Linked DNA regions of Mus musculus: regions 1, 3, 4, 5 and 6 are each reported to be linked to region 2. Evidence: microRNA targets listed by miRTarBase, many of them from high-throughput screens and not tested one by one. Region 2 holds a microRNA gene; each other region holds the end of a gene's coding sequence.
The links. The annotated mature microRNA mmu-miR-9-5p reads UCUUUGGUUAUCUAGCUGUAUGA and lies in region 2 at 3,583-3,605, shown strand. An mRNA with a match to its seed (bases 2 to 7 or 8) in the 3' UTR can be bound and repressed. Matches are read on the target gene's strand: a 7mer-m8 pairs with bases 2 to 8, a 7mer-A1 pairs with bases 2 to 7 and ends in A, and an 8mer does both.

Region 1 (5,073 bases), not on the chromosome of region 2:
ACACGTGGGCTATCTCAGAAAGACGACTATCCTAGAGGGGACAGAGGTAGAGGGGATGAATAGGTCAAAGCATGTGACAAATGGAGCTATCTTAATGAAATTACTGTGTACAGTGGAAATACACCAATAAAAAAAAATTGCCAAAAGACCACTGAGATGACGCAGATGGCTAAGGTACGTATTGTTAAGTCTAGTGACCTAACTTGCACATGACACACAAAAACCATTTCTCAAGGTTGGAGAGATGGCTCAGAGGTTAAGAGCACTGACTGCTCTTCCAGAGGTCCTGAGTTTAACTCCCAGCAACCACATGGTGGCTCACAACCACCTGTAATGAGATCTGACGCCCTCTTCTGGTGTGTCTGAAGTCAGGTACAGTGTACTTATATATCTTTTTAAAAAATGTTTACAAATGCCAACCCCCAATATTTTTAACCTTTTTTTATAAGTTACATGCATAGGCGTTTGTCTGTATGTACACCATTCACGCTTGGTGTCTGTAGAGGCCAGAGGATGGTGTTACATCCCCTAGGATTGGAGACAGTTATGGGCAGCCCTGTGGGTGCTGGGAATCGAACCTGGGTCCTTGCTGTGCAAGAGCAACAATCATGGAACCATCTCTCCAGCCCCAACTTAAAAAAAAAAATTTAAAAACATTAAATGCCGAGCATGAATAGGAAAAGATAAATTTTTTTTGTTGTTTTGGTGGGGGAGAGGTCAAGGCTGGGGTCAGGTGGCCCTAGGAGAATGTGCCACAGGCTAGGCCAATGGGTCTGACAAATTGCTGTCTGCCCAGGGCCTTCTGCTTCCTCTTGAGACCTCATGAGGCCCAGAACAGAGGCTGAAGCCACCCAGCGGGCTCTGACTTCTACCATCAGAGGTCCAGCCTCAGGGAGAGACGAAATGGCTTTGCTCACTGCCCTTCCCAGCCTTCTCCTCACCAGGTCCCTCCAAACCCCACCCTGGGGTGCATTTGTCTGGGCTGTGCCAAGCTTGAACACCCACAAACACATGCTGACTTCTGCTCACACGCTGTGGTTTTGGCCTTCCGGCTCCAGCAGTGAGGCACCTCTTCCAGGAAGTCAGCCCTGCTGACCCCAGAGGGGAGGGAAGTTCAGAGAGGGAAGTTGAAAGCTTCAACCCTACCCTGCCACCCTCTCCCAGACCCAGCTCATCTCGAGAGAGGAAGCTGGGTGCCTTCCTGCTTCTGCACCCTCCCTGACACCCTAGAGCTTGCGTGGTGTGCAGTGTTACTTTTATTGAGAGCTGGGAGGGGAGGAGCATCATTCAGTAGGTAGCCTAGGCTGGCCTTGAACTCTTGGCGATCCTCCTGCCTCTGCCTCCCCATCCCTGAGATTTACAGGCACGAGGCATCAGTGTACCTGGCGTTTTATAAACTTTTGGAAGCCCCAGGACAGGATACCTGACTGAGTAACTGACCAGAGAGGAGGGCTCCTCGCTAAGACCCTCACTGAGGCGGCCAGGCAGCCAGTCATTGGTGGCGCACGCCTTTAATCCCGGCACTTGGGAGGCAGAGGCAGGTGAATCTGAGTTCCAGATCAACCAGGACAGCCAGGCAGGCCTACACAGAGAAATTCTGTCTTGAAAAAAAATCAATTAATCAATCAGTCAGTCAGTCAGTCAGTCAGTCAGTCAGTCAGTCAGCTTGCTTCCCTCCTCAGGAGAAACTCTTCCGCCTGCTCTACCTGGGAGTTGTTGAAGCCACTGGCTAGACCCTTCCTGGGCCCTCCCTACTTGGCTTCTGTTTCTTAGATGATTTTTTTGACCTCACTTGGTAACCCATGCTGGCTCTGATCTCACGACCCTCACAATCCTCCTACCTCAACAGCCTCATGAATAATACTAGGTTAGAGACCTATGCCACCTCACTGGGTTCCCCTCCTGCTCCGTGCTGAGGTTCTGCCCTCCAGGCTCAGGACCACCCTCTGGCTCCAATCAGAATGGGAAGCTCACCCTGGCTGGGGCCCCCAGCTCCATGCCGGCGGCGAGGTTGGTGCCGCTGTACCACACCTCTGTGGCTGCCAGCTCTGTGCCAGCTGCAAGGGGCTTTTGACGACCAGAGCAGAGGGTAGCAGGCCTCTGACTCATCCAGGCAGGAAGGAGGCTCATGGCCCGTGTGCAGACTGCTCCACCGTGACCTTTCCACCCTTACAAATGTCAGCTTCCTCATCTAGAAGTAGGGCCCCAAGCCACCGCCACCAGGCCCTGTATGCCAAGGACCACGGCCACCACTGGGGATCCCCTACTCTGAAAATCCCAGGCAGCTGCCTCAGGCCTTAAAAAGCCAAACTACAAAGCCAAGGTGGGGTCAGGCTCTGGCCAGTCACCCCACAAGGCAAGAGCAGTTACCAGCAAGGGCCATGCCCAGCCCACTTGGGGGTGCTGAACCCACAGCTGTGAGCAATGTCTGGTGGAGTGCAGGACAGATCTCTAATCAAATGGTGTGGGGAAGAAGGCAAAGGACACAGGGGTGGCAGGTAATGAGGACCTAGCCCCGTGAGTCCGGGGTCAGGTCAGAGCAGGCAGCCACCTACAGAAGGGCAGCAGGTGGGCAGCACTAGCCTGCTTCTCTGTAAAGGAGCGGAAACAAGGAGACCACAGGGAAGGAGTGTGGTGAGGATCCCCCGATCAGCCAGCCTCTGTGGCTGGATTTGAGGAAGGTCCCTGAAGAGCCTCAGAAAGATCCGAGTCCTCGCCAGCTCTACCCACGAGTGAGCAGCCTGGGTACTGCCCATCCTCAGAGGATACATGACAGGTGTATCTCATGACAGATGAGAGGCCAGGCAGTGTCAGCAGAGTTGACAGGGAACGAAGATCTAGGGGGGGTGGGGGTCATCCACCTCAGCAGCCTGGCTGCCTGACTTTGGTCATCCTCATTTAGCCTGCTTTGAGCCTCAGTTTTCCTGTCTGGAAAATGGGTCTCTGGCCAGCCCCCACTAGCCACTGCACCTCCTCCAGAAAGGTCTGGACACAGTGAGGTTGACACAGGGCATGACCTGATCAAGCAGCTACCGCCATCAGCCCTGTCCAATTCCCACCTCCCAACATGGTATCAACCCATCAGAGGCACATCTACACCAAGCTGGCCATACTTCATCTATTTTAACACTAGTTTCCCTCCCAAGTCGTAAACTTGTTGAATTCTTCTTCTTTTTTTTTTTTTTTTTTTTTTTTTTTTTTTTTTTTTTTTTTTTTTTGGTTTTTCGAGACAGGGTTTCTCTATATAGTCCTGGCTGTCCTGGAACTCACTCTGTAGACCAGGCTGGCCTCGAACTCAGAAATCCCCCTGCCTCTGCCTCCCGAGTGCTGGGATTAAAGGCGTGCGCCACCATGCCCGGCTAACTTGCTGAATTCTTACCAATTGCCTTCTTCTCTATGTCATGACTGGGTCTCCCCTGCCCTCATCTGAAAGTCCCCTCGAGTTACCTTGATGGACAGGTGGCTTAGCCCCAACTCCCAAGCAAGACTAGGGCCCCTTGGGTTGCTGCAAAGAGCACCTTTATTCAGAGGAAGGACGTCACCATAGCAACAACACATCAATTCCCTGAGAGCTTTTCCCTTATCATCATTAGCTTGCCTAGTTAAGGTCTTTGCAAAAAGAACACAGAATACAGCCCAGGGGTAGGGGAGTGAGGAGTTGGGGGTGGTGGGGGTGAGGTAAGTCTTGGGGTGCTGGGGAGGGTTGGGGGGGAGCAGGATTCCAGATACTGGAAGGCATAAATACAGTACTAAGGCACTCATTGTCCAGCTTTCCAAAGACCAAGCCTGTCTGGCTTCCACTTTTTTCTGATCCACAGAAAAGATAAAATAAGACCCTCTCCAGCCCACCCCAGAAAACAACCACCCCCCACCTCCTTTCACACCCACCCCTCCCCTTTCAAGAAAGAGCACAGTAAAAAAATACTGTCACAATATGTACAGGCACACCCACTATGGGCGACTTTCTCTCTACTTTGGAGAGGAGATAAAATTCATAGCTCTGAACCCCACTTGGTGTGGGAGACAAAGATAGGGCATCAGAGGGTGGGGCTGAAGACTTCGCCTCCACCCTGGAGGGCAGGGGGTGGGGGAGCATTGTTCACCAGAATGGCACCAGGCAGCGCCCGGGCCAGAGCTCACAAGGGGTCCAGGCCTTTACTACCCAAATCAGCTTCCCTAGGACTGGGCACAGCTCAGCTGACAGGGAAGGCTCCAGATAGGTGCTAGCACCCCAACATAAGAGACTGCTACAATCAGCACCCACGGACCCCTGAGTGGAGCCCCAAGGCCTCACCCACCCCCACTGCAGAGATCCAAACACAGATCCCACACAACTGCCCTCGGAGTGGTGCTCAGAGTGTAGTTAGGGACAGACCTGCCACTCCCTGAAGAACACGACTGCCCAGCAGTCTGCAACACGGGTGGGCACGCCACACAAACACACAAATATAGACATACACACACATACACATAGCCCTGAAGAGCCTCGGACACCAAGGCCAGGGCATACAATAAAGGTCCCTGGGCCCTTTGGATACCAGGGGCGCCCAGGGACAGAGTTTCAACCACGACTGCTAGAAGATGGCGGAGCGAGGACACCAGGGTGTGTCTGGGTACAGGTGGCAATGGACAGAGCGGAACCTGTTGGGACAGAGTAAAGACTGGTCTGCGTGGGCTGGGGGTGCCATGGGCCCTCTGGCAGTCCCAACCATGGGGTTCCTGCCACCCCCCCAACCCCGGGGGTACTTGGTGACCCTCTACGAGTTCTTACCTGGATGGGTCAGCTTCCACAGAGAATGGTCCCTTGATGTGCACTGCGTTCCGCTTGTTCTCAAACATGCCATAGCTCAGGGTCACCTGCATTGGGAGCAACAGGATGATGCTGGAGAGGTGGCAGTCCTGCCTGGCTATTCCTGCTGCTGTCCCTTGAGCCAAGGACACTGGCTCGGCCCACCTGGGGATGAAGCCCATGGTGGGGCCTACGACCATAAGGGAGACAGAGCAAGAGTGTCCCCTCAAAGGGCATGATCAGCAACTTAGAAGAATCTATTTGACTTTCTGTTTTGGAGGAGC
Region 2 (5,073 bases):
CCCAGAGGGGGATGAAAGGGAGCGTTGCTGCCAGGCTGAATGGCAGGCCAAGTGGCTGCATCTGCTTTGCTCCACCAGCCCCAGGCTCCCAGCCTCAGGATCTGGGCAAGGTCCTGGTCGCAGGACAAGGGTATCTGCACCCTACTGTGAGTGAGGGTGTGAATTGTCCTTCTCGGAACCCCTTATCTCATAAGCGGAGTAACTACCGACAGGGAATAGAAGCACGGAGTCGAGGCAAGTGGAGTTCATGGAGTGGATGCCTGCCAGCAGGCGCAACAGCACTCCTGTACTGTGCATGTAGATCTGCATGCACAAGTAACATGCCAGCCTTGGGGGCGGCCTCATAAGCTGACTGTGGGAGAAAATGCAAGGTAGGTTTCAGTGGGCTCTAGGGCACATGTGGATAGTTTCTGTAGATTCAGATATGGGAACTCAGCGCAGGATTTTTGTCCCTCTGTGGTGATTTATGAAAATAGGAGTATGAAAAATGGAGTCTCCAACCTTTGGTGGAGATGTCTAAGTGCTGGCCGTCCCCCTGGATGCTTGCTTTTCTAAGTTACTGTAGGCACCCTTAGGACTCAGGTTTCAAACCACAACTTGGAGACCAAGGAACTTCTGAGCTAGGTGAACTGCTGAAGACAAAAAAATGCCGGGTGGGCAGTTCTCAGCACCATGGCCAGGGCCTGTCAGCAACCATGGGTTTTCTAGCTCTAGATCCACTGCCAGCTCTTTCTTGGGACTTAGGGACAGTAGGCTAGAGGCAAGAGATTGATATAGGAGGAAGTGTAGCGAACTTAGACCCGGCCCAGAGTACAGTGTGAAGATGAAAAGACAATCAGAGCCAAAGTCAGCTGGGTCCTCCGTGGGTAGGCTCAGCCCCAAACAATGTGTCCCTGCTGGGTCTGACCTGGAGGCTTCCCATCCTGTACATGGGTGTGGCTGCTAGCTCAAGGAGACTACCTACTGCCCTGTCCCACCAGAACATCCTCCAAAGGGCAAGCAATGGATGACCCAAGGCCCACACTCACTGTGGCCTCCTTCCTGAGAGAGAGCTGATAACACCTTCATGCACCCGGACACTGGAGACAGAGCCCACTCCAGCATGGTGTAGGAACCTCTGCCTGGCTGGCCTCACCTGCTTTGGCAAGGGACATGGTTTCCTAAAGGACAACAGAAATGTGGCTTTGGTGGCACTAACCTGCCTTACCTGAACAGAAAGCAAAATCAAGCTTTTTAGTCTTTCTCCCAGACTCCTAACCAGCCCTAGGCTCTCAGGCCAGGGCTCCAGCGTGCTATAACCATGAACCTCACAGCCGAGGAGCCATTTTGTGCAGCGTCCTGCTTAAATCACACTCTGAGAACGCTCCTTCTCTCTTTCCCCTCTCTCCTGCTCCCCACTCCCCCTCTTTCTTCTCCCTCCCCCTCTTTCAGGTGAATCGTGCTTGCACAGTTCCCTCTGCCTCTTCAGTTCCACCCATCCAAGCTCAGGGTGGCCCAGAAGGACTAGAGCGCAGGAGGCCGCCCACACTGACAGACACACAGCTAAATGGAAGAGGGTGTAGATTCCAGAGGCTGTAGGAGGAGAAGAAAGGGACACCTCCTAATTATGAAAAATCCTTTAGAATTAACCAGGCAGGCCCAAATTCGAGGTTCCTTCCTGGGCCTTGCTGTCGGTAGGTCGGCCCCTCTGTTTCTCTGATGCTTTTCAGTCTAGCCTGTGTCCTTTTTCTGAGACAAGGATTTGTCTGTGAGGTGGCATTTGGAAAGAGGTGTGTAACTGCTAGCTGGCTTGCTCACTGGCTGACAGGGATGGCAGTGGGGATGCAGCCCACCTTGGATTTGGGGTCAAGATAAAAAATAGGACGAATCTAAAACAAGCACGGGGTACAGAGGTGTGGTGCCAAAGCCTGGTATTAAACAAAAAAAATCCAGATGTGTCATTTAAGGGAGACTGCTTTAGATACCTTTAGAAAAATTCCCTGATCCCTTCCAAATCACCCACTTTGGGCCTATTCTTTGAACCCAGCCTTATGGGATTTGCTGATGGAGAGTGTGTAAGGGGTGCCCCCCCCCCCGCCTCACCAAAACAGATCTGAATGAGTACCCCCACCAAATCTGGGCTGCTTTGGGGATGCCTTAGCACAGAGAGTCTTTGGGACTCCCTCATAGTCACTGCTGGAATCCTGGAACCCGCTACCCCCCACCCCCACTCTATTGTTAAGTCAATCTCTAGATCTTGGATTTAAGATCTTTCTAGGGATGACTGGGGGGGGGGGAAGGAGATATCGAATTTTTCATATTTAATCCTTTGCCTCCCAGGAATGGGTGAAGGGGGTGAATCAGGGCTCATAGTGGGAGGGGTGTACAGGAGCAAGGAAGACAGGATGGGTTTCAGGTGAGCAACCTCTAAACCACCACGTTTAGGAGACTGAGACGGGACTTCAGTTTGGTGGCCAGGCTCAATTCTACTGTGAAACCTCAAAATGTCAATTCTTTTGCCCTGTAAAGTCACTTGGAGTAAGTGGGCTAGGGTGTGCTGTGAGCAGAAAGATGGCAGGAGCTGATTATTTTTATGGGAGGTGAATAGGAGCCCAATTACGGCCTTGGATATCTTTAAGGCGCAGGGGCACAATTGATTACATATCCTTGGCTGTACTAGGAATGGTCAGAGGGAAAGGGCTAACAATCTGGTGCCGACATTTAGGACCTGGTTTGAGCGAAGCATGCCATGGGAATCCCTACAAGTCAGGCAATATATATGGGATACATTGATCTAGACACCCACTCCTTCCCTTAATCCCCAGTCTCTACCGCGGTGTCTGTACAGTGCTGGGCAAGAAAAAAAAGGAAGAGAGACCTTAAGGATAAAGTGACCGGTTCGCAGCCTCTCCTGCGCTCACTTGGTTGCCTTGGAGAGACCTCGACCTTAAACCTCTTCCCTCAAACTCTAACTCTGGTGGTCTGCGGTGGCTGCCAGGCACCTAAGACGTTGCTGGGAGGTCAGAGAGGTTTGAGAGAAAGGCCAGACTGTGTGCATCCAAGCAAGCAGGCCTAAGGCTTCTGAGGGCAGAAGAGGCGCTCCCCTGTCCTCGCGGCGCAGAAGCCGTGAACGCCGAGGCCATTGTAAGGCTGGGTGGTGCCGAGCGCGGGAAGGGGGCTGGGATTTGAATGGAAGCCCGTGATAGGCCGATCCCCCGACTGACGTCACTTCCCCGCGGGGCGATTAGCCTGCGAGAGGAGGGCTGATGGTCCAGTGCGCTGGGGGCCGCCAGGGCGCCCGAGGCTGCCCAAGCGCAGAGCGCCGGTTACCCGAGTGCGCCCCGGGACGGCGTCGAAGCGGGCCGCGCACGCACTGGACGGGGAACTGGGGATGGAGAAATCGCGAGGGCGAGGGAGGAAGGGAGCTGGGCGATCCGGGTGGCGGGAGTCCGTGTGTCTGTGTGTCTGTCGGTCCCCTCTGGCTCTCCGCGTGCGCCCGGGGCTGCGGGAGCGGAGTCCGCTCAGGCCCCCGCGCCGGGTCGGCGGCGGCACGTGGGGCCCACAGCGCGGCAGCGGTGCCGGCGAATGGGAGGCCCGTTTCTCTCTTTGGTTATCTAGCTGTATGAGTGCCACAGAGCCGTCATAAAGCTAGATAACCGAAAGTAGAAATGACTCTCACAACTTCTGCGTGCGATGGCCCGGCCGGCCGCCCTGGCCACAGGAGCCAGAGGAGCCCAGAGAAGCCCACGCCACCCAGGGATTCCAGCTCGACGGAGCGGCCACGCCGGGACCAGGTATCCGACCTCGGCTCTCCTGGGGACACTTGCCGTGTCCTGGAGGCATTCCCTTCACCTCCTCCTCGGTCCCTGCACCCCCATCACCATTTCCCAGCGCCGAGGCTGGAACCCCGAAGTGGAGTGGGTTGGGGGCAGGGAACGGGCTGGGGTTGCAGAGGGGTCGCTGGCGGGGAAGGCGCCAGCCTTTGCCTTCACCCCATAAATCAGGCTAGAACAATCCACGCCCTGAGCTGCAGACTAGGATTTTGGGATGCAAATGCGATGAGAAAGAGAACGGAGAGAGGAAGGGAGAGAGGAAGGGAGAGAGAGAGGAAGGGGGAGAGAGAGAGAGAGAGAGAGAGAGAGAGAGAGAGAGAGAGAGAGAGAGAGAGAGGAGAGAGAGAGAGAGACCGGTAGGCAGTGTGTAGGGGGAGTAAAAGGGTGGGCAGGGGGCTGCCCTGCCGCTAACAATGCAGCCTTTATCGAATTATTCGACGAGTCAGCCCCTGAGCACCATTAGCATACGGCTGGGGGGTTGCTGGAGCTTCGCCCCTCGGTGAGGTCAAGTTCTTGATAATTTGATCACTTTTCACCGGCTCTGGCAGCTGCCTTTGTGTGCAGTTGGGGGGTCTGTGTGCAGCGTGAAGCGGAGCAGAACTGGCGGGGAGTGTACTCAATGGCAAGGGGCCTAGGCGGGGGGCCTCCCGCCCCGACCGACCGGCCCTGCCCTGCATACAAACCAAGAGCAGGCTGCTGGGCGGGAGAGACGTAGCCCAGATCCTCTAAACCTCTATAGTTCTGGTCGGACGGCTGGGGCCGGAGCCTCCCCAACTTCCCCAACTGGTTAAGGGGGAAGCCAGGCTCTCTGGAGCTCCTCTCCTTCCCGCCCCAATAAATGGCAACATAAGATGTATTACAATGTCTAGCAAATAAAAAAGCAATTGGGGGAAAAAATCTGAATTCCGTTCCCATGGCAACCCAATGCTGCACACCGGCCACTCAAGCTCCAGGTCCCTCTTAGCTGGGCGCTGCGAGTGGGGCGTGCCAATGTTCTGTGTCCGTGGTTCTTAGCCCCACAAGGAGCGGAAGGTCCCTTTGAGGTTTCTCTGCCTTCAGGTCCCTCTCCTTCCTGCCACTCCCTTTACTCTTTCCTTATCTTGAAGTTTGGGGCCCCCTGCAACTTAGGAAACCATTAGGGCTCCCGCGTGGTGGATGTAGACCCAGCTATGGACCCTATCAAGTGTAGGGAAGAAAGGATCCAAAGTCAGTTCACATACCTTAAGGCTTGGGGTCTTTTGGGGTTCTTTAAGGCACATAT
Region 3 (5,073 bases), not on the chromosome of region 2:
TGAAACTCACTATGTAGACTAGCCTGGCCTCTCGAACTTTGAGCAATTGTACTGCCTCTGCCTCCTAAATGACTGGAATTACAGGTATAGTAAAATATACCAGGAGCTGAAGGACAACATGGGCTACTTGAGACCTTGTCTCAAAAAAAAAAAAAAAAAAAAAAAAAAAAGTTTCAGGATTTTGGTAATTAAATGCTAGGCGTGGGATGTTTTGTCTATGGAAGGGAAAAGAACAGGGCAGGGGAGGGAGTTGAGTGTGATAGTTTAAAGACAACTTGCCTTCAGGACCAGGGCTGAGTCTCAGTTTGCCTCTGGGCTCTGTGTCAGACACAGAATGGATAAAGCTCTCAATGCAGGCAGCTGCCATATCCACATAACAGAGTAGGGCTGCTGACGTTGTAGGAACAGAGGGGCAGCTGTGACACTCTCCTGATGATCACAGGATCTTAGACTAAAGAATGTCTTCAAATGTCTACTATCAGGGCTGGAGAGATGACTCAGTGGTTAAGAGCACTGACTGCTCTTCCAGAGGTTCTGAGTTCAATTCCCAGCAGCCACATGGTGTTTCACAACCATCTGAAATGGAATTCAGTGCCTTCTTCTGGTGTGTCTGAAGACTACTACAGTGTACTCATAAATAAAATAAATCTTAAGCCATGCGTGGTGGCTCAGCACTTGGGAGGCAGAGGCAGGTGGATTTCTGAGTTCGAGGCCTGCCTGGTCTACAAAGTGAGTTCCAGGACAGCCAGAGCTATACAGAGAAACCCTGTCTTGAAAAAACAAAAATAAATAAAAAAATCTTAAAAAAAAAAAAAAAAGTCTGCTATCTCTGCACTGGCTTCTACCAGGCAATCAACCACTGGAAAGAAGTCAGAGAGAGGCCTAAAATTCTTGGGCCCTCTGGGTTTGTTGAGTGGCCAGATAATATATGGGTAGTAATATAAGGGTAGTATGTCCCAACCTGAGAATGCAGGTCAGATCACCTGAACATCTACAAGCCCTTGAGGGCCCAGCTGATGACTTAGTTCTGTTTCCCAAGGCCTCTCTTACTTCTTCTAAGAGCAGCTGCCATTGCTGAAAAGAGGTGTTAGTTTGGACAACCTAGTATCAAGGTCCTGTAAGACCCACACTGAGTATTACACATTTTCTGGGCCATTGGAAATGCATTGAAATATCCTTCAGGCAGGAGTCTTACTCAGAGAAGATGCTCATCAACTATAGGTTGAGTTATTGGAGGTTTTGACTATTCCTAAGAGTTCTCAGAACCAAGCAACTCCCTTTTGGAGGGACACACCTGGCAGGGTGTCCAGTAGGGTGGACAGCAGATTGACTCCAAGACTGATTGACCTGGAGGGTGAACTGAAAGAGCTGATGACAGCCAAGCGGGAAGCAGAATGGTGTCCACGGCTATGGGGATGGTAGCTTTGGTTGGTACAGGATTGTGCTGGGCAGAGAAGGGTCTTGTAAATCACAATAGCAGATGTTTACACAGCATGGAAGCTGACTGCTCATCAACTGGTACTACCTACAGCCCATCACTTTCCTCAGGAGAGGAGGCCTGTCTATAGGTGTCTGAAGAGCCAAGAAGCTAGGCAATTCCTGGGAGTCCTAGTCAGAGAGGAGCTGCTGTGGAGAATGCCTGGCTCCTGAGGGCCTTGCAACAGCTCTCCACAGAGGCAGGTTAGGGGGCGTGAGATTGGGAGGATCTGGTTAGACTTGGGACCTAGGAAACACATCATGCACTTTGAGGCCACTCTGAGTTAACCTGCACTGGGAGGAGCCAGAGCAAAGTCCTAGCTGTTGGCAGTAGGCTTGTACACTTGGAACTTAGGGTCTGAGTTCACACACTTAGCTGCCTAGGACAAACTCAGAGCTGTAAGATTAAGTATCTTGGTCCAAAGAGAGCTTCAGAAGCCCTTATTTGATAAACAGCATCGCTGAGAGCATCTAATAAACACTTTAAGGATGAGCTAGGAGACTGGTTGGCTCTGCAGTTTGGAGAAAAGGCTTCACCCTGCTCAGGCCCCGACTGCTGGGGCCAGGAAGAGTTCTGGGTAAGGATTGGATCAACAATTTGGCTGCCTAGTACAAGGAGCTGCTATTATCAGGTTAGTGTCCCACAGAAGGTTGGTTCTGGGGTCCGCCAGTCTTTGGCTCCGATGGATCTAGTAAAAATGGCGGACATGGCCCAATTTATGGTCAGCTGTCAGCAACAAGACAAAAAGGTATCTTTTGGCCCCCTGCAATAAAGGTTCATCACACTATTCACCACTGGTGGACCCCAAGGCAAGATTGGCAGGGCTCCAGCAAAGTAGCCGATTACTACTCGCTACACAACTGGTACACCCACTTTCCTGAACAGCTTCATCAGAGGGTGGTTTTCCAAAGCTAGCATAAGGCTGAAAAGGGAAGTTTTTAGACTGACTCCTGTAAAGGCAGGATGGGGTTTTGAGGTTACTAGGTACCTTTGGTTGTGCTGAAGACAGACAAGTAATCCTGCCTCCCTGTGGTCACTACAGAGAGCTACACAAGAGCCCTGTTAAGGCTTAGTGGCTTTTCAGGGTTCTGCTACAAGCTTCATGGTTCAGTGGTCCTGCCCTTTCTCCCTAGGTTCGTGGGTGCTCTAGAGAGCACAGTACTGGAGATGTGCAGAGGCTCGGTTTCCTGTTCCAACTAGCCTCACTAACAGGCATAGGGAACTCTCTCACCAGGTCGACCTACACATGCAAGTTGTTCAGAGCCAGATCAGTTTGATCTTCCAGCAGGGCTCCATACTGAGGGCAAGTCCCAGCCAGGGGAAATTTAGATATGCTGACTCAGGCAATCCCTCTATGCCCAGGGCCAGCACTGTGACCCATGGGCCTGGGGTTTGTTCTATATTCACATCTCCACAGGAAGCCAGGAGCAAAGACAAAACAGGGCTGTTAGCAGCAGACAACCTTGTAGCCAGGACATCTGATCTGAGGGACATCCACCCTCCACTGGATTCTTACCATTCCCTACAAAACCCCAACACAAGCTGCACAGACCACACAATCCCAGACTCCTTCAGGGGTGTTTATTTCCCAGTCAGAAGAGAAGCAGGGACAGGCTCCTCTGCCTGTTGAGGCTGGGCCTGGCAGACACCACACAGGGACTGGGGATAGGGAGGGGAGGCACAGGAGACAGCTCCCAACTGTGTGAACTTGGTCCCACATTTGTCCTGGCTGGGTCCAGGGAGGGTCGGCCCAGGGATGGTGGCACCAAGAACCAGGGCAGAGGCATCAGGCCAGCTGGCCCAAATGGAGGCAATAAATACTGACAGGCCAGGCACGAGGTTCAGGCCACGTGGCCCAGGTGAGACAAGTAAGGCTCGGCTGGCTTTGTCCCTCAGGGGCTCTCTGTGGGGACAGGGGCTCCGAGTACTGCCTACAAGGGACAGAGAAGGCAGAGGAATGAGGCACCCTACCCTGCCTCCTAGATGGGGCTGGAGGCATCGAGTTTTGGCAATTGACCCTCCCCTAGCTACTGGAGCCACCCCCAACCCTGGCCACGGGGAGGGGAAGAGCTGGCCAGGCTCGCAGGAAGCAACAGCAGCGCACCCCAGGCCTCCCTTGGGTGGGTCACTGGGATGGGGATGGCAGACGAGGCGAGGACAGGGAGAGCACATGCTCATGCAGACAGGGAGTTAAGAGTTAGCGACGGCCCCCAGCACACGTTCCACATGTTAAGGCATCATGGTTAGACAGTGACTGACAGTGATGGATGACCTGGCCAGGGAGTGGTGGGACTAGAGGACAGATAGCCCAGCCCTTCCCCATGCTGCGACAGAGACAAGGTGGGCTGGACAACCCTGACAGTGTTCTGTTCCATTCTAGAAGCCAGGGCCTGAGGAAGGGAAGACAGAGGGAACCTGGAGGGACACAGCAGATTGGAGGCCTGGGCTGGAACCCCTCCCCCACTGCACAGGCAGAAGCAGCAATGTGACACTGGAGACCACAGGGGCCTGCGGGCAGGAGGTGGAGGAGGGGCAGACAGGAGAGCTGACTGCCTGAGTGGACTAGGGAGGAATGACGGGTGAGGGAGGTCCTGTCAGCACTTTGGTTTGGGGTAGGTAGGGGGTTAGGGTGGGGCATGTCGGTCCTTCTGTCTGTCCGTCGCCCTGCCCGTCTCCCAGCTGGAGCTCAGTCCTTCCACTCCTTTTTGATGGTGAGATTCCACTCCCAGGACAGGTGGTCAGTCTTGTCGTCATCTGTGAAGCGCGACTTGATGTTGTAACTGCCCCGAGCAAGCATGCCTTTGGGAGCCTCCTCCATGGGTGTCAGGAACTCATACTCCTCGGCCCTCGGCCCATAGCTCCCGACCATGTAGTCAGTCTTGTCAACTGAGGGACAGGAGAGGCAGGATTACTGGTGCTGCACGCCCCTCCCAGGCCCAATGGCTCCCCACTCTATGGCCCGCCCACTCACTTTTGACCCCTTTCCTGTATGTGTGTTGGATGTACTTCATGCCGGACACGATCTCTCTGTTCACCTGTGGGGACACAGAGCCAGGGTCAGCTGCCTTCCCAGGCTTGCCCCTCTGCCCCTTGTTTCCAGGCCTCTCAAAGCCCCCACCTTACCCGGAAAGAGATTTTTATCCGGTACTCCACACCTTCCTTCAAGACAAACGACTGTTTCTTGAAGCTCTCCAGATCACCTGTATTGAGGAGGAGTCTCCGCTGACTGCTTGCTTGAAGGGCTCTCCACCCTGCTACATTCACTCTCCCCAGCCCCTTCCCTGACACAAAGCAGAGCTTCGGCAAGCCCCTAGCTGCACTTCCCCTCTTCTCCACCAGAGGGCATCAGTGCAGAAAATTATTTTTAGGGGTAGAGGCAAGATGCCAGCTGGCCCCACCCAGGGATTCTAATACCCACTCACCTGTCAGGTCCAGTTCCAGAGGGCCTGGGGCAGTGCTGCATACCAAGGTCAGTCGAGTCACAATGACATTGGGGACGTTGGGGTCTGCAGAGTGAGAGTTAAGAGTCAGAGTCCCATCCCTTAAGATTTTTCTTTTTAAACTCACTCCTTGGAAGAGTGGTCTGGAAAGAGACT
Region 4 (5,073 bases), not on the chromosome of region 2:
AAGGGCTAGGCCTTTGAACCAGGTCCTCTAGAAGAGCAGTCAGCACTCATAACCACCGAGCCATCTCTCCAGCCCCAGGCTAGGCCTTTGTTAGGTACCTACAAATTGAGTGAATTGTAGTTCAATGAGCACCTTTTTTTGTCTCTCCCTTTGTTTCCTATAGAAGATTCTACTGATTGGGAAAAGGAGCTACAACAGGAGCTTCAGGAATATGAAGTGGTAGCAGAGTCTGAGAAGCGAGATGAAAACTGGGATAAAGAAATTGAGAAGATGCTTCAGGAGAGTTAATAATTGTCTCCGCAAACCAGTTCTTAACATTGTGTGACATGAAATTCTCATGATCGCTGAGTCAGAAGGCACAAAAAAAGGGTGTAACTTTATGCAATTTGAAATGATTCTTTTTCTAGCTAAAACTTGCCTCTTAAATGAACAGCTATTGTAATAATCAGAAACAACAGGATATTGTATGTAACATTTCATACATATAAAATTAGCATTCTTATAAGCAGCAGAACTATCTGTGCCACAGAAACACAGGTAAATACTAGAGTCTTTTTTCTAGAAGGTTGGCAACATAATTTATTCTTTAGTTATGTTTTTCTATATATGCCTTTTTGTTGATAAATGGTTAAAGTACTTACTATCAGAAAGTAATATCTTACTATCAAAATGACCAAATTATACCAAAGAAATCAAAAGAAAGCACTTTCAAAATATTTTCTTGCCGGATATTTTCTAAAATTCTATCTGAAAGACAAAAGCTGAGATATTTCTGTTCACTTGAATGACATAAATATCACCCAGTTTGACATGCTGAAACACTTTCTGTGCAGGACTAGGGAGGGATGTGGTGAACACTTGTTGTTCACAGTGCTCCAGGTTCCATTTCCACTATCTCAGCTAAAAGTGCAAGCCAGATTTGTTTAAATAAAGTTGAACTTCTCCCTAGAGCCTTCTCATTTTGCTTTGTTAAGTATACCACAAATTCAACGTTGTGCTTTTTGTAGGAACTGAGGTCTTCAGTCCTTTTTGTATTAATAACTGTCAAGAAGCCTGTTTACCGTAAGGTTTGTTCTCCTGGTAATAGTCACTATGTATAAATGTCTTAAATAATTATCCTTTATAGAATGGTCTTCCTTGATCTAGAACCTACTAATTAATACTTCTTGTATTCTGCTATGCCATCAGGCAACTGTTCATAGAATGTGATGATTTTAAAAGAGCAAGGTGATTTAATGTTAGAAAACTAACTACCATTCACCTTTCAAGTTTTCACAGCACTTTTATTTCATAAGGGAAATAAAATCAAGACATTTCTTTATAAGAGAATTGTACGTATTTATATTCTTGTACTCGTAAAATTCGTCTCCGGGTCTTCTGGCATAGGTAATCAGTGAGAGAACTGGGTGTGGATGTAAACATCACTTTCATGTTCATTGTTTGAGATATGTACTGGTAAACTGAACCAGACTGCCTCACTTCATGTTACTTCATTTTAGCAGTGAACAGGAGGATTTTCTGAGGCCATTAACCCAATATGAAAGGATTCCCACTTACAACATCAGAAACCACCCTACTAAAGTAAAAACTGCTCCATTGGCTTTGGTTTGGAGACAGGGTCTTCTGTGATCCTGGCTGGCCTCATGGCCTATGACCTCAAACCTAGTTCTCCTGTCTCTGCTTCTGCCTTGAGTGATATCTTGTTGATTTTTTTTATTTTAGAGTTTTTTGTTTTTATTTTTTTTTTCGAGACAGGGTTTCTCTATGTAGCCCTAGCTGTCCTGGAACTCAGGCTGGCCTTGAAGTCAGAAATCTGCCTGCCTCTGCCTCCCAAGCGCTGGGATTAAAGGCGTGTGCGCCATCACTGCCCAGCTATCTCCCACTTTTAGCATTCCTCAGTATTTGGAAGGTAGAAACGGAAAATTCAGGTTCAGGATAACCATAACTTCATAGTGATTCAAGGCCAGCCTAGGCTACATTAAACCCTAACTCAGATTCAAAACAGAAGCAAATGGAAATTCCCTCACAAAGTGGGAAATCTCAGTTAAACTTCCAAGAAGTTGAACTTAAGAAGATGTTGGCTCATTGGATAAAAAGCACTTGACACACAAGCCTGAGGCTATCATCAAATCCCACGGTGGAAAGAGAGAACCAACTCCCAAAAGTTGTTCTTTGACCGCCACCTTCTCACCATGGTGCACATGTCCATACACAAACAGACACACACACACATATATACACATACACACGCATATGTGTGCAGGTACCCACGGAGGGCAAAAGAGGACATCAGATTGCCTGGAGCTGGAGAGATGGCTCAGTGGTTAAGAACACTGACTGCTCTTCCAGAGGTCCTGAGTTCAATTCCCAGCAACCACATGGTGGCTCACAACCATCTGTAATGGGACCCAATGCCCTCTTCTGGTATGTCTGAAGACAGCTACAGTGTACTCACATACATAAAATAAATAAAATCTTTAGCTGGGCAGTGGTGGCGCATGCCTTTAATATCAGCACTTTGGAGGCAGAGCCAGGCAGATCTCCGAGTTCCAGGCCAGCCTGGTCTACAGAGTGAGTTCCAAGACTGCTTGGACTACACAGAGAAACCCTGTCTTGAAAAAAAGAAAAGAAAAAAAAAACATGGAAGGATGGAGTCACCAACCAAAAAAGAAAAATAAATAAAATGGTTTTTTTCCTTTCTATTTAAAAAACAAACAAACACAGCCAGCTACAGAAGGCAAGATTTTCTGTGCTTCTGAAGCCTAGAAAGGCTCAGGAGTTCTGGAGGCACACTGCCTCTGTCCCTACACTTCCATAGCTATGTGATGTCAGAGTAGGCTGACTCTGCTGCAATCCAGAGGGAAGCCAAGGCTGAGGCCAGAGCTAAGAGTTGAAACGGCTCCAGTGGGGCTGGGAATTCCAGGGATGACAATGGTTACAGGATCTCTTGTTTTCAAAACTTTGTATGAAGCCAGACGTGGTGGTGTACGCCTTTAATCCCAGCACTTGGGAGGCAGAGGCAGGTGGATTTCTGACATGTGCACCATGGCCAGCCTAGTCTACAAAGTGAGTCCCAGGACAGCCAGGGCTATATAGAGAAACCCTGTCTCAAAAAAAAAAAAAAAAAACTTTGTATGACTTGACTTCTTTTTTTTTGTTTGTTTGTTTGGTTGGTTTTTTGAGACAGGATTTCTCTGTATAGCCCTGGCTGTCCTGGAACTCACTTTGTAGTTCAGGCTAGCCTGGAACTCAGAAATCTGCCTGCCTCTGCCTCTGCCTCCCGAGTACTGGGATTAAAGGCGTGTGCCACCATGCCCTGCATGACTTGATTTCTAAAACTACGGGTATCATTTTGTTTGTTTGTTTGTTTTTTAAAGAAATCAGTTTTTTCCCTTTTAGACAGGATTTAACTCTTTAGCCCAAATTAGCCTAAACTGCAGTTTTATGTATTTTGCCTGTGTGTATATCTGTACCATATGTGTGCCTTGTGTACAAGAAAGCCAGAAGAGGGCATTGAGTTCTCTGGGACTGGAGTTAAAGATGGTTATGAGCTACCATGTGGGTGCTGGGAACTGAACCTCAGTCCTCTAAACGTTTAAGTATTCTTAACTACTGAGCCACCTCTACTTTTGACAAAGGTAGGAGTGGAGAAAAAAAAAAAACCAAGAGGTCTAGGTGAGGTGACAAATGCTTTTAAGTAACTTAGCACTTAGTGTAGTGATTTGAATAAAAATGGCCCACATAGGCTTATAGGGAATGGCATTAGGAGATGTGGTCTTGTTAGAGGAAATGTGTCACTAGGGGTGAGCTTTGAGGTTTCAGATGCTTAATCCAGTTCCATTGTCACTGTCTTCCTGCTGCCTGCAGATCCACATGTAGAACTCTCAGCCACTTCTCCAGCACCACATCTGCCTACTGCCATGCTTCCCACCGTGATGATGATGGACTAAACCTGAACTATAAGCCAGACCCAATTAAATTGTTTCCCTTTATAAAAGGTGCTGTGATCATGGTGCCTCTGTGCAGCAATAGAAACCTTAACTAAGGTAGCTCAGGTGGAAGGAAAGCAACCTGCCTTACACAGTGAAACACTGTTAAAAAATAAATAGGTTGCCAGGGAGGAGGCTGGAGATGTAGCTCAGTTTGTAAAGTGCTTGCCTGGCAAGTGTGAAGTCTAGGTTTGATACCCAGCATCACAGAAGCAGGGTGTGGTAGCATATGCCTGTAATCCCAGCAAGAAGATCAGAAGTTCAAGATGGTTTTTGACTACTTAGCAAATTGTATTCTAATCTGGGCCACAGGAGAGCCTGTTCAAATGTATTTTTTCAAATTAAAGATTCCCAAGCACTCACAAAGGCAGAAGCAGGCAGATCTCTGTGAGTTCCGGGCCAGCGGGTATGCAGCGGGTTAAAGGACAGCCAGAGCTACATAGACACCCTTACTCAAAAAAAAGTAGAAAAAGGAAATCAAAATTTAAAAACCTATCCATTAAACAAATAAAAGAAGGGCATGTCTGAGAGATATAGTTTAGTTACAAACATGAGGACCTGGACTTAATCCCCAGAACCCACCATTAAAAAAAAAAAAGAAAGAAAGAAAGAAAAAACTCAGCATGAACCAGGTATGGTGGAGCACGCCTTTAATCCTAGCACTCAGAAGGCAGAGGCAGGTGGATCTCTGAGTTTGAGATCAACCTGGACTACTTAGTGAGTTCCAGACGAGCCAGGGCTACATAGTAAGGCCTAGTCTCAAAACAGCAGTGCCCCACCCAACAACACTGAAAACTAAAAAAGTTAGGCATGATGGCACACTCTTTAATGTTACTGCTGTAGACATGGAGACAGGAGGATCCTTAGGGCTCACTGACCCACAGCCTCGCCTCCTTGCCAGCTCCAAGTACAGGAGAGAATGTGTCTCAGATAACAAAGTGAATGACTGTTGCCTGGGGAATGACATTTGAGGTTGAATTCCAGACTCAACATGAATGTACACCTCCCCCTCCCTGCACACACACACACAAATTAAAAAAACTAATTGTGGGCTGGTGAGACGACTCAGTGGGTAAGAGCACCC
Region 5 (5,073 bases), not on the chromosome of region 2:
TCATTTCAAAACAGTAGACCATGGTGGTACATCTGGATTGTTAATCTGATTCCACAGATATGAATCAACACAGTAGTTTGTTGAATCTGCCTTATGGCAGAAACTTAATAGGTCAAGAGTATTTGTTTTTTAAATTTTCCATATTAGTGTAATTTGCAAATTGTAGGCCCTTGTGAACCTTTTGTGTAAGGGAACCAAGTACTTTAGTTTTTCTTTGCCCTAGCTAGCTATATCATTATTTGTTACTTGACTCAGAAATCATGGGAATAATATTTTCTATTTGTTTAAAAACCAGGTTTTTAGGGTCTGGTATATTTGACCCAAATCTCCTATTTCGTCTAAAAATAACTAGCCAATCTATATTGGAACTCCTATAAGTGAATTTTGGGGAAAAAAAAAAAAAAAAAAAAAAAAAACCTCAACATTTCTTTCTTACAGAAAAGAAAAAAGCTGGACTATTTGAACAAATCACTAAAACTCATGGGACAATTATTGGCATTACATCAGGAATTGTCTTGGTCCTTCTCATTATTTCTATTTTAGTACAAGTGAAACAGCCCCGGAAAAAGGTTATGGCTTGCAAAACTGCATTTAATAAAACTGGGTTCCAGGAAGTATTTGATCCTCCTCATTATGAACTATTTTCACTAAGAGAGAAAGAGATTTCTGCAGATCTGGCAGATTTGTCAGAAGAACTTGACAACTACCAGAAGTTGCGGCGCTCCTCCACGGCCTCCCGGTGCATTCACGACCACCACTGTGGATCACAAGCATCCAGTGTGAAACAAAGCAGGACCAACCTCAGTTCCATGGAACTTCCCTTCCGAAATGATTTTGCACAACCACAGCCAATGAAAACATTTAATAGCACCTTCAAAAAAAGCAGCTACACTTTCAAACAAGCTCATGAGTGCCCTGAACAGGCTCTAGAGGACAGAGTGATGGAGGAGATTCCCTGTGAAATTTATGTCAGAGGGCGAGACGATTCTGCACAAGCATCCATATCCATCGACTTTTAATTGCTGACTAAAGGCATTATTGTTAAGTGTGTATGCAGCCTACACCAACACTCATTCTATCTCCGCATCCAATCTTGTTCTATCAAATTTAGAAAGCCCTTCATAACTTATCATAATGCTGATGATTTTATTATCTCAGGCAATCTATATATGTGAAACCAACTAAGAAACTTAAATGTATTCAGTGGAAAGAAGGCATCATCTGTTGCTGGTATCTTAACCTGTAAAACACCACCAGTGCAATAGCAGCTGAGGAGCAGGTCATGCATGTTAAGTCAGGCAGAGCAGCCCGGTGCTGTGAACACCAGGCACTGTGCGTGTCTGCACAGCCCCATCAACTTGATCTCACAGTAAATTTAAAAGTTTTTTCTTTATATTCCTTTTGTCCTTCTTTTTTCTGTTATGTTTTCTTTGCCTGTGGTTTTACCATTTCAGTTTCCTGCAGACGGGGATAATATGTCACTCAATTCAGCATGGCCATGCATTTGCTCCTAAATGAGTGTAATACGGCTAGTACTGTAATAAGTGGCAGTTTAAGATGCAGTCATATTTCATTTCTTCCTGACTGATTTCTACACTGTTGTCTTTAATAACTGCATCTTTAGTTCTGCTTTTCTATGGGAAGTAGGACTTATCACCTTTAATCATGTTTCATCTTAGTTATACTAAAAAAGTAAGAATCCTAGGGTATATTATTACCAGATACACATGAACAGAATTTTGAGAAAGATTAAAAACTTGTAGCAACCTCTGAAGTTTTCCCCACTGGGTCTCAATTCAGTGACAGTAATCAGGGTCCTAGAACTCACCTGTGAGCAGACCTTTAATTATGGCTCCATGCAGAGCTTCTCAGATCTTATTCCCTATCATCTTTCAAAACGATTTCTTTGTTCTCTTGGTATTGGTTTGTCTTGGACATGGCCATGGTTGGTGGAAGCTTAAAGAAATTCTCAGAGAAACTGTGTTAGCCTTTACATAGCTTCTGCTTGAAACAGTGCATTTTTCTACCCATTATCGAGAAGAGCAATTTCAACTTTTTTTTTAAGCTGCACTTTTAACCTTATGTTTTTTAAAGTATATAAAACAATAATTTATAAACACGGTATCAAAACTCATTGTGTTTTTTTAGACTTTTGATATTATTTGATATTGTATAAACTTTATTAGATCAAGATTTAAGACATACAAGACAATTTCTTTAAGTCTTCACAGTAGTGACTTTATATAGAAGAATACTGTGATGGGACTGTACTGTAATTTATTATAAAGACCTTGCTCATGGTGATATGTACATACATTTTTCTTTCTTTTGCTGCTGTGTTAGTTGGTAATAAGTTTTTCACTGTGTGGTATTTATTGTTCTAAATCACAACAGAAATCTTATATTAGAGTATACATTAATTCATGATCCTTCAATTATATTATTTATAGCAGGAATCCTTTGAATAAGATATAGATGAGGAAGAATTCATATATTTAATGATAACCAATAGAGATAATGCCATTTTAAAGAAGTAAATTCTCATTTTCTATATTGAACTAAATTTCCAATGAATGAAAAGTTGAGGTTTCACTAGATTTCATTTATTTTTTTAAGTACTACATAAATCTGATTTCTCAGATTACTAAAAACTTTGACCTTTAGTGTGATGTACTTTCTGACCAAAGTGTGTTTTCTGTATGACATTTTTTTTATTTTTAAAAAGGAAATTATATCAAGAATATTGGGAAAACTTACCCTTGGCATAAGCATGACTTAATTTTTTAAGTCAGTAGATGTTCCTGCTTTGTAAAATAGAACTTGGAAAAGTAAAAGGAATCTCAAAACATAGTAATCACTGAACTATCCAGAGAAAAATTAAATGTTCTTTCAGTAACTATAAGCATTTTATTATGTGACTTAGACCAGCCACCACTCCAACACCATAGTAAATACTTAAATTGATAGCTATGATACCATAGTGAAATAAAAATTAACAATTTTATAAATTATATCCACTATAAAAATAGTTGTCATATTCATCATTAATTTTAAGATTATAGTTTATAGTATGCCTTCATACATCATGATCACTTGTAGGTGTATTTTTATTTTTAACACTATTCTATTTTAAAGGAATTTGAAGGGATTTACAAAACAGTTGTTTGTACAAAATACTGAACATTCCAACCATGTAAATTTGCATGATCTCATGCATCAGCAAGAGAAACTCGGGTGATCATTTGGTTCTAAATTCTCTAACTAGAAAGTTGATCCTTTTCACAGTAGAAAACACTTATATTCAGAGGCTAAAGTGAAAGCCATAAACTTAAGCAGTAACAAATATGAAGTTAAGCTGTCTTATGTGAGTTATTATACCCTACAAAGTACCTGTGTTAAACACACCCTTCAGTGAAAAATGCAAAGCCAGAGGATAGTAAAAATCTCCAGTGCAAGAAAGTACTAAGTACAAACTATATGATACCAACACATTGCTGTCGTTCATCCCAAGTTCACTACAAGCTGTCAGCTCCCAAGTAGCCACAGACTGCAACCTACACATCCCACTGTCTCAAAGACATGGGAATAAACTGTTATTTGTTTGCAGAAGAGAGTTATCAATATAAATATTGAACAAAAACCAAAGGATGTTTACATTTCACATCATGGATCTGAAAGGCTCCCTTAGCTTTGCTTTAGGAGAGTCTTTGTCACTCTCCTACATGCGTTTTGTATCATTGCTAAGCATTAAGGAACTGCAGTCTGCACTGAACATTTCTATACTTTGGATACTACCTAATGATGGTACTTGCTTGGGTCAGGAACATATCAGCTAAGATGAGAAAAGGCTGCTTGTAGTTCCAGGAATAATTAACATTCAGAGATTACACTTTGTTGCAAAATGATGTCTGCCATATGCCCACTTTTATTTACTACAAGTGTTAAGAGAAATGTGCCTGAATCACATTGATTGTGGACAGAAGGAACTTTATTTTGTTCTGTTTAAAGATCCAAGAGAGATGATCTAGTCTAGTTTTGTCAATGAGAAGACAAAACCCTGATGGTGAAGTAGCTCCCCATGGCTCCATCCTCCTAGCCCAGTAACCTTCCTTGGCTTCTTCTCTCCCTGCTTAGCTTTTAAAAGTCACATAATTCCAAACATCAGCCTAGATGTTCCATGCAAAACTTGTTAGTTATGCTTACTTAAAATGTAATGCTGTAATTTTGTATACAAAGGGGGTTTCACCCTCCCTTTTTAATTTATATAACACTGTTATCCCATCAGTTTTGTTACCAGACTTCCTTGGCACCTGCAGAATATGTAATTACTGTGAATTCTTAGTAAACAGTGCTGGTTAGCAGCACATAGGCTGATGCCAGAAAGAAAGCTCTGTGCTTTCACGTTTGTAATTTTTTTAGTTAAAATTAACAATGTACATTATAGAAATTAAATATTGGGTACTGTATCTTGAGTTTTGAGAATTATTTGAGTCTGAACCACTGTAAGAGAACAAGCTGACCTGGGATATCCTTTTAGCTTCCTACACCATCTGTTACCTGTTATGTATCTTTCCTAGTAGTATGTTCTTCTTCACTCGGCTTTTTAAGATACTTTTGACTATATTTCTGAGATTGGTTTACTGGCTCAAAAAGCCTCCAAGCTAATGATGAGGGTGCACGTATAGTGAGTACTACCTAAACTTGTTTTTTTAAGGAGTAGATTTCTATTAGAGACAAACTTCCAGATCATGTAAGAATTCTCATTGCTTAATCCAGATTTGGCACTTTAAAGTACTTAACCCTTGAAATGCAAATAAAAATTCCTCTTTTGATTTTCTTCCTTGCCTCAATTCTGAAGCGTGTAAAAGTAGAACATTTAGCTACTTTGGACATTTATAGGCCCTTCCTAAAACAGTACGAATTCCTATTTGCTGCATTCCAAATAAAATAGTCAGGGTTTATTTGTTAAAGCAACTGTGGATGATTATTATACTTAAAAAGCATATTTTACTTTTAAATTAACAGAAGATGGACTTTTAAAATAAAAACGTTATAGGATGGTTAGCTGACGAG
Region 6 (5,073 bases), not on the chromosome of region 2:
GGAATTAAATGTACCCAAGCTATACGTACCACCCTTGAGTCAGAACAACAGAGCAAATAGCTTTGCTTTCTTCTTGGAGCACCCCTGGTGAAACGTTCCATGTTTTTACACAGGGTCACATCTTCGTCTTTGGATATTCCCCCAACAATTTCACAAGTGTCAGTCTTCAGAAGGGGCTTGTCTGGGCATCTCATTTCGGGGGCCATAGCCCCTCTCCTTTTATCTGGTCACAGTTCCACTCTGTAGTTATCACCTGGTGTTGTGTTTTGTTTCTCTTCCAGAGTGAAAGAATTGAAAAAGGCCAAGGAACTTGAAGACATACAGCAGCATCCCTTAGCAATGTGACATTGCTTCTCAGACTCTTTCCATTTCTGTTTTTAGCAGAGACATGCAACAACAACACACACGCTCGTGCACACATACACACACACACACACACACATATATACACACACACACACAAAATCCCTCTGCAGTTCTGGGGAGTCAGCTGCAGGATTTTAACGAGAATGTTTGGTCATTACATTTGCACTCTCATGGACAACTTTTAATTTGATCAGCAAGACATCTTGGAACTCAAATCTTCTGTTGGATCACAGGAAAAACAAGACACCAGGAGGAACTGGAAGGGCTTCATCTTAGGAGGAAGCCGCTTTCCTTGTCATTAGGGCTGTATTCAAACATCGTGTGGAACTGTACAAATATTTATACCAAAAATATAGATAAGAACAGGCGGGGCGACGTCAGCCACACGAGGAGCGCTGCGCCTGCACCTGCGGTGACTTCCAAGAAGCTGAATCCTTGGTTCTCAGTGGAGGGCTTAGATCACCCGAGTTGTGCGAGTCCGCCTGTCCTCATCTCCTTCACTGTTCTCTTTTGAGTTTCTGTTTCGTTTTTTTTTCTTTCTTTCTGTCTGTCGGTTTGTCCGTCCGTTCGTTTGAATCTCTACAGCACACTTAATGCAACTTTTAAAATCTGCAGGTTTTTAATGTCTTGTGAAAATTTGCAGAGGGGTGGGTGTGTGGTAAACGGGTAATGCACGGGAAATAATGAGAAACAGCTTACGGGATTTAAATTCATTTTCTTGCCCCCCCCCCCACCTCCCAGGAATCTGCAAGGATAGTGGCCATCCTGTCCCTTCTCATGGTCAGCACTTTAGTTTGTCTGCCCCACTATCTTGCAGTGAGGATTACTTAAGACTTGGTAACGCATGTAGCCTTTTTTAGTAACCTTGGAAACCTTAGTAATTCCAAGAGATCATAAACCTTGCCTGGACATTTGCCACCTAAACGACCAGTGTGGTGCTGCATTCTGGCCAGTAAATTCCATGTTTTGGCTCTATCTCATCCAAACAGAGTGGTTTCTGTGTACATACAAAAGGTAGAAATGGAGAAAAAAAGCGAGAAAATATTTGAAAGGGGTTATATTAATTGCTAAATATTTTATTCACAGAGGTCAATAACATGGCAAGATGAAATTATTTGTATAGTTTTGTCTGAGCGAGAACAATGTGGATGTATTGTTTGTATATATTGTATATATTAAAACAAAGATGTGCATGAATTCAAGAAAAAGAACAAAAGCAAAGCATTAGTGGCTATGGTCTGTAAAATGAAACAAAAAAAACTTTATTTCACTATAAGAGTACTTTATTTTAAATGTTCTGTAGAAGAACATTTTGCTAAAGCATGACCTGCAAAAAATAAAAAGGAGCTACTGTATTTAGACTTAGGAAAAGAGGCAGAGTAGCATTACTTTAAAAAAAAAAAAAAAAGGATATGTTTACATTTAATTTTGGCTATCAGGAGTTTATTTTATTTTATTTAAAAAAAATTTTTTTGCCAAAGGTGCCAAGTAATGTGAATGCTAATATTGCTTAAAAAAATTAAGTTACTTTTGCAAAATAGATAATCATAAGATGAATCCTTAGAGACCTTAACACCATCCACTCACACCAACAAAGAACATTAGGATGATCAATGTTTAGGAAAAAAAATTAGGACAAAATGAGAAAAATATCACATTTTCATATCTCCTGCTGGAAATTAAAAAACAAACAACAACAAAAACCACGAATAAAAATTGCTCACTCGACAAAATAAAAGGGAAACCCGGTGGAGATTGGTGTTGACGGAAGGGTGCCACGGTACAGTACTTTCCAGGTAATGAGGAGCCAAAGAAATCTGATGCTTTCAAAGCTAACTTATGAGAGAACCAATTTTGCATTTGCTAATGCCAGTTTAAAACTCCCAGGTTAAGTGTGAGAATTGGTTGGTATGAGATTTTCTTTTTTTAAAAAACAAAAAACAAAAAACAAACCAACATGGTTCTGGCTGCCAACCGTGAGTTAAAACTCGAGGCTTGTTGTGAAGCCTAAAAATATTCACAAATGAGCTTTAAGCTGGTGTCTTCAGAAGGAAGGTAGAAACAAAAGGATTGTGGTTAAAAATAATAATAATAATAAAAACTGGGGTCAGTGCTCTCGGTGCCTTTTCTATAATTGTACTTGTTTTTTAATTACTTCCTTTCACTGCCAACCTCAAATTACTGTACAGTACATGTCTTTCTGCTTGTGATCAGCTTGGAACAGCGACAGCCCCACAGCTAGGAGCCACCTGTACATTTGTAAGCTGACCCGACCCAATTTTGTTTTTACATGTGTGGGTTATGTTGCAGCTGTTGCAATCCTCGACCCCCCTACCCCCGCCCCCACCACACCTATTATTTTACACAATTTGACCTGTCTGAGGACACTGAGTAATTTACATAAACAATTGTATTCATAACAGGGAATAGAATGTAAAGCCAGCTCTTTTCAGAATATCCTATCTCAATCATGGATCTGGATACATTTACTCCATTGCTTATGGTTCAGATGACCAATCATTTGACCAGAGCAATGACCTCAGTGGATTTGCTTCAACCCTCACATTTATTTTTTAGTGTTTCACATGCCACATTAGCTGAATATGTTAGAAAACTCTGGAAGATAAAGACTTACATAGAATTAGGAAGTTCTTATGGAGGAGATAGAAGTAGGGTCAAAACCTACCAGTACAACTGTGAATTCTAGGTGAGGTCGAAGCATACTTCCACTGACACAAAGCATTTATGACCACCTTTTTTGATTGTAACTCTTAATTTTGAATATAAGGTGATAGGCGCAGCTTTCTTGGATAATCTGAATTCCCAAGTGCCAGGAGTAGGATTTCATGATAAAATTAATAGCTAATCTTATTCTGTCTCCTGAAGATTTAATTGCTATCCTTGTTACCCATTCAAAATCAGCTGTACTGTGTGAATGAAATAAAGACATTAAGATGAACCCCTTTCTGGCTGCACGGTCGCTTATGGCAGTTCCACACAGTAGTTGGCGCCCAACGGGGGGTCCCTGAGACTTGCATGTAAAACTAGTCTAGATGTCTCCTTTTTTGTAAGTTTTATTTTTGTAATTGTGCATGTAAAGCATCATTGAGTCAATGGATCTGTTGAAGAACTCAGCTGCTGGAAACCATGCAAAATGTTTTGAATTGCCCTTAAAAATATGGAAAATGTTTTCTGAATGCTTTATATTCTTTCTGCTGTAAATTAAAAATGAAGAAAATTTCCCCATATTATCTGTGTTTTGCTTTAACCTGATCTGAAATCCAAGGTGTTGACAGTGAGGTCATAGTTAGAACTGGAAGTATTATTTTACTTTCCACATGCAGTGTTCTCCCACCCAGCCTTTCACTTAGAGCCACTTTCCCAAAGCACTTCCTTTCTACCTACCTTGCCTGGTTCCTTAACACATCGATTTATTTTAAATGCAGTTACTTGGAAGATAAGGATCTCAATTTTAAATTAACCTTTCTCATGTAGCTCAGAGTACCCATGAATTCCCAACGCTTAAGCTTAAGGGTGACATTGAACCTCTTAACCTTTTACCTAAAAGCTTTCGTTGCGATTATGGGTGTGCTAACAGCCTGGGTCTACGTGGTTCTGGGGATCAAACCCAGGGCTGCATATTAGACAAGCACTCTGCCAACTAAGTACACTCTTTAGCTCTACTAGGTAGTTGGCTGGGTTGTGTGTGTGTGGTTTTTGTGTGTGTTTTTTTTTTTTTTAAGACCCTTTCCAGCTTACCTCACAAGGCCTCCCTGCTAGGTATTCTTCGTCACTGTTCCAGTCCTCTTGGCTGTAGAGTTCTGTTATCTCTCTGGTAGGACTTCACTTCTGATCTACCTCAGAACTAGTGCCAGTTTCACACTCTGAACCTCCCACCAGGAGCCCACTGCATTTTCTGTTCACTGTTTAAGCCCGGCCCCACACTCTCCATTTCCTCCTATCCAGAATGGTTTTTATAACTACTACTCAACCTAGTACCCACTGGTGTGGCGCTCTTTAATTGCAACACACACCTTTGGGAGTTACCATGCTGAAGTGGAAAAATACCTTAGTGTATTTCATTGAGTGAATCCACCAACGGAGTTTATTTAGTCTGTTTTAGACCTTGTTGGGATTCTTTTCCACATAACTACTCACCCCCGTTGAACAAAAATTGAGTGTCGTCTCCGCAAGGGCCAGGGAATTACAGAAATGAAGAACCTTACAGTTCTCTAAGCCAAGGCTCCCTTTAGGGATTTAATATCCGTGCAATGGCAAATATTTGTCATGTGAGAACCTGAGAGGAGACTTCTCCCAAATCCTGTGGCCAAGACTCCACATGGACTTCCTACTGCCTCTTTCTCAGAAAAGAACTTTGTCTCCTCAGGACCACTAGATTATTCTGGAACGTTAGGCACGTCCGCTGTTTCTAACATGAGAGACAAGGTATGCGGGCTCACAGTAATGTAAAACGTACCCATTCTCACTCTAAACTGCCTTTCCAGGGCTAGAGACAGGGCAGCAGAGACACTGCAGGGAGCTGCTGTGATTCCTTGGCGGCGAAGAGCCCAGCCCAAAGGCGCAGGCGCCGCGCTCTAGCCCCGCCCACTTGTCCACCGAGAACGCCCGCCCACTCGTCAGCGCCGGCGCTACTTCAGCGCAAGCTCTGGCCCCTCCCACTCCGCTCTGCTCCGAGGTGACAGCCCG

Region 1: the mRNA of Lfng is a reported target of mmu-miR-9-5p. The part of its 3' UTR that is shown has no 7-base or 8-base seed match.
Region 3: the mRNA of Arhgdia is a reported target of mmu-miR-9-5p. Seed matches in the 3' UTR shown: 7mer-m8 at 4,078-4,084.
Region 4: the mRNA of Syap1 is a reported target of mmu-miR-9-5p. Seed matches in the 3' UTR shown: 8mer at 683-690.
Region 5: the mRNA of Neto2 is a reported target of mmu-miR-9-5p. Seed matches in the 3' UTR shown: 7mer-m8 at 2,681-2,687 and 7mer-m8 at 3,640-3,646.
Region 6: the mRNA of Camta1 is a reported target of mmu-miR-9-5p. Seed matches in the 3' UTR shown: 7mer-A1 at 2,174-2,180.

Annotation. Positions count from the first base shown.
Region 1 is chr5:140,613,975-140,619,047 of GRCm38, reverse strand. It overlaps Lfng (LFNG O-fucosylpeptide 3-beta-N-acetylglucosaminyltransferase), which reads right to left. Exons shown (of 8, transcript NM_008494.3): 7 at 4,772-4,857; 8 at 3,503-4,641. The coding sequence ends at 4,575. Among named protein-coding and RNA genes, the nearest start is that of Lfng, 9.2 kb to the right of the region's middle.
Region 2 is chr7:79,501,697-79,506,769 of GRCm38, forward strand. Mir9-3 (microRNA 9-3) reads left to right here and starts at 3,568; the gene lies at 3,568-3,657. The region is part of intron 1 of Mir9-3hg (Mir9-3 host gene); the gene reads left to right. It overlaps Gm51285 (predicted gene, 51285), which reads right to left and starts at 3,640; the gene lies at 3,583-3,640.
Region 3 is chr11:120,575,068-120,580,140 of GRCm38, forward strand. It overlaps Arhgdia (Rho GDP dissociation inhibitor (GDI) alpha), which reads right to left. Exons shown (of 6, transcript NM_133796.8): 3 at 4,900-4,983; 4 at 4,601-4,677; 5 at 4,449-4,512; 6 at 3,032-4,363. The coding sequence ends at 4,164. Among named protein-coding and RNA genes, the nearest start is that of Arhgdia, 4.0 kb to the right of the region's middle.
Region 4 is chrX:162,853,099-162,858,171 of GRCm38, reverse strand. It overlaps Syap1 (synapse associated protein 1), which reads left to right. Exons shown (of 9, transcript NM_025932.2): 9 at 164-1,329. The coding sequence ends at 288. Among named protein-coding and RNA genes, the nearest start is that of Gm23901, 5.4 kb to the right of the region's middle.
Region 5 is chr8:85,636,482-85,641,554 of GRCm38, reverse strand. It overlaps Neto2 (neuropilin (NRP) and tolloid (TLL)-like 2), which reads left to right. Exons shown (of 9, transcript NM_001357288.1): 9 at 439-4,837. The coding sequence ends at 1,019. Among named protein-coding and RNA genes, the nearest start is that of Mir8109, 62 kb to the left of the region's middle.
Region 6 is chr4:151,058,064-151,063,136 of GRCm38, reverse strand. It overlaps Camta1 (calmodulin binding transcription activator 1), which reads left to right. Exons shown (of 24, transcript NM_001081557.3): 24 at 282-3,614. The coding sequence ends at 314. Gm38529 reads right to left here. Exons shown (of 2, transcript XM_017320565.2): 2 at 4,081-5,073. Among named protein-coding and RNA genes, the nearest start is that of Vamp3, 2.6 kb to the right of the region's middle.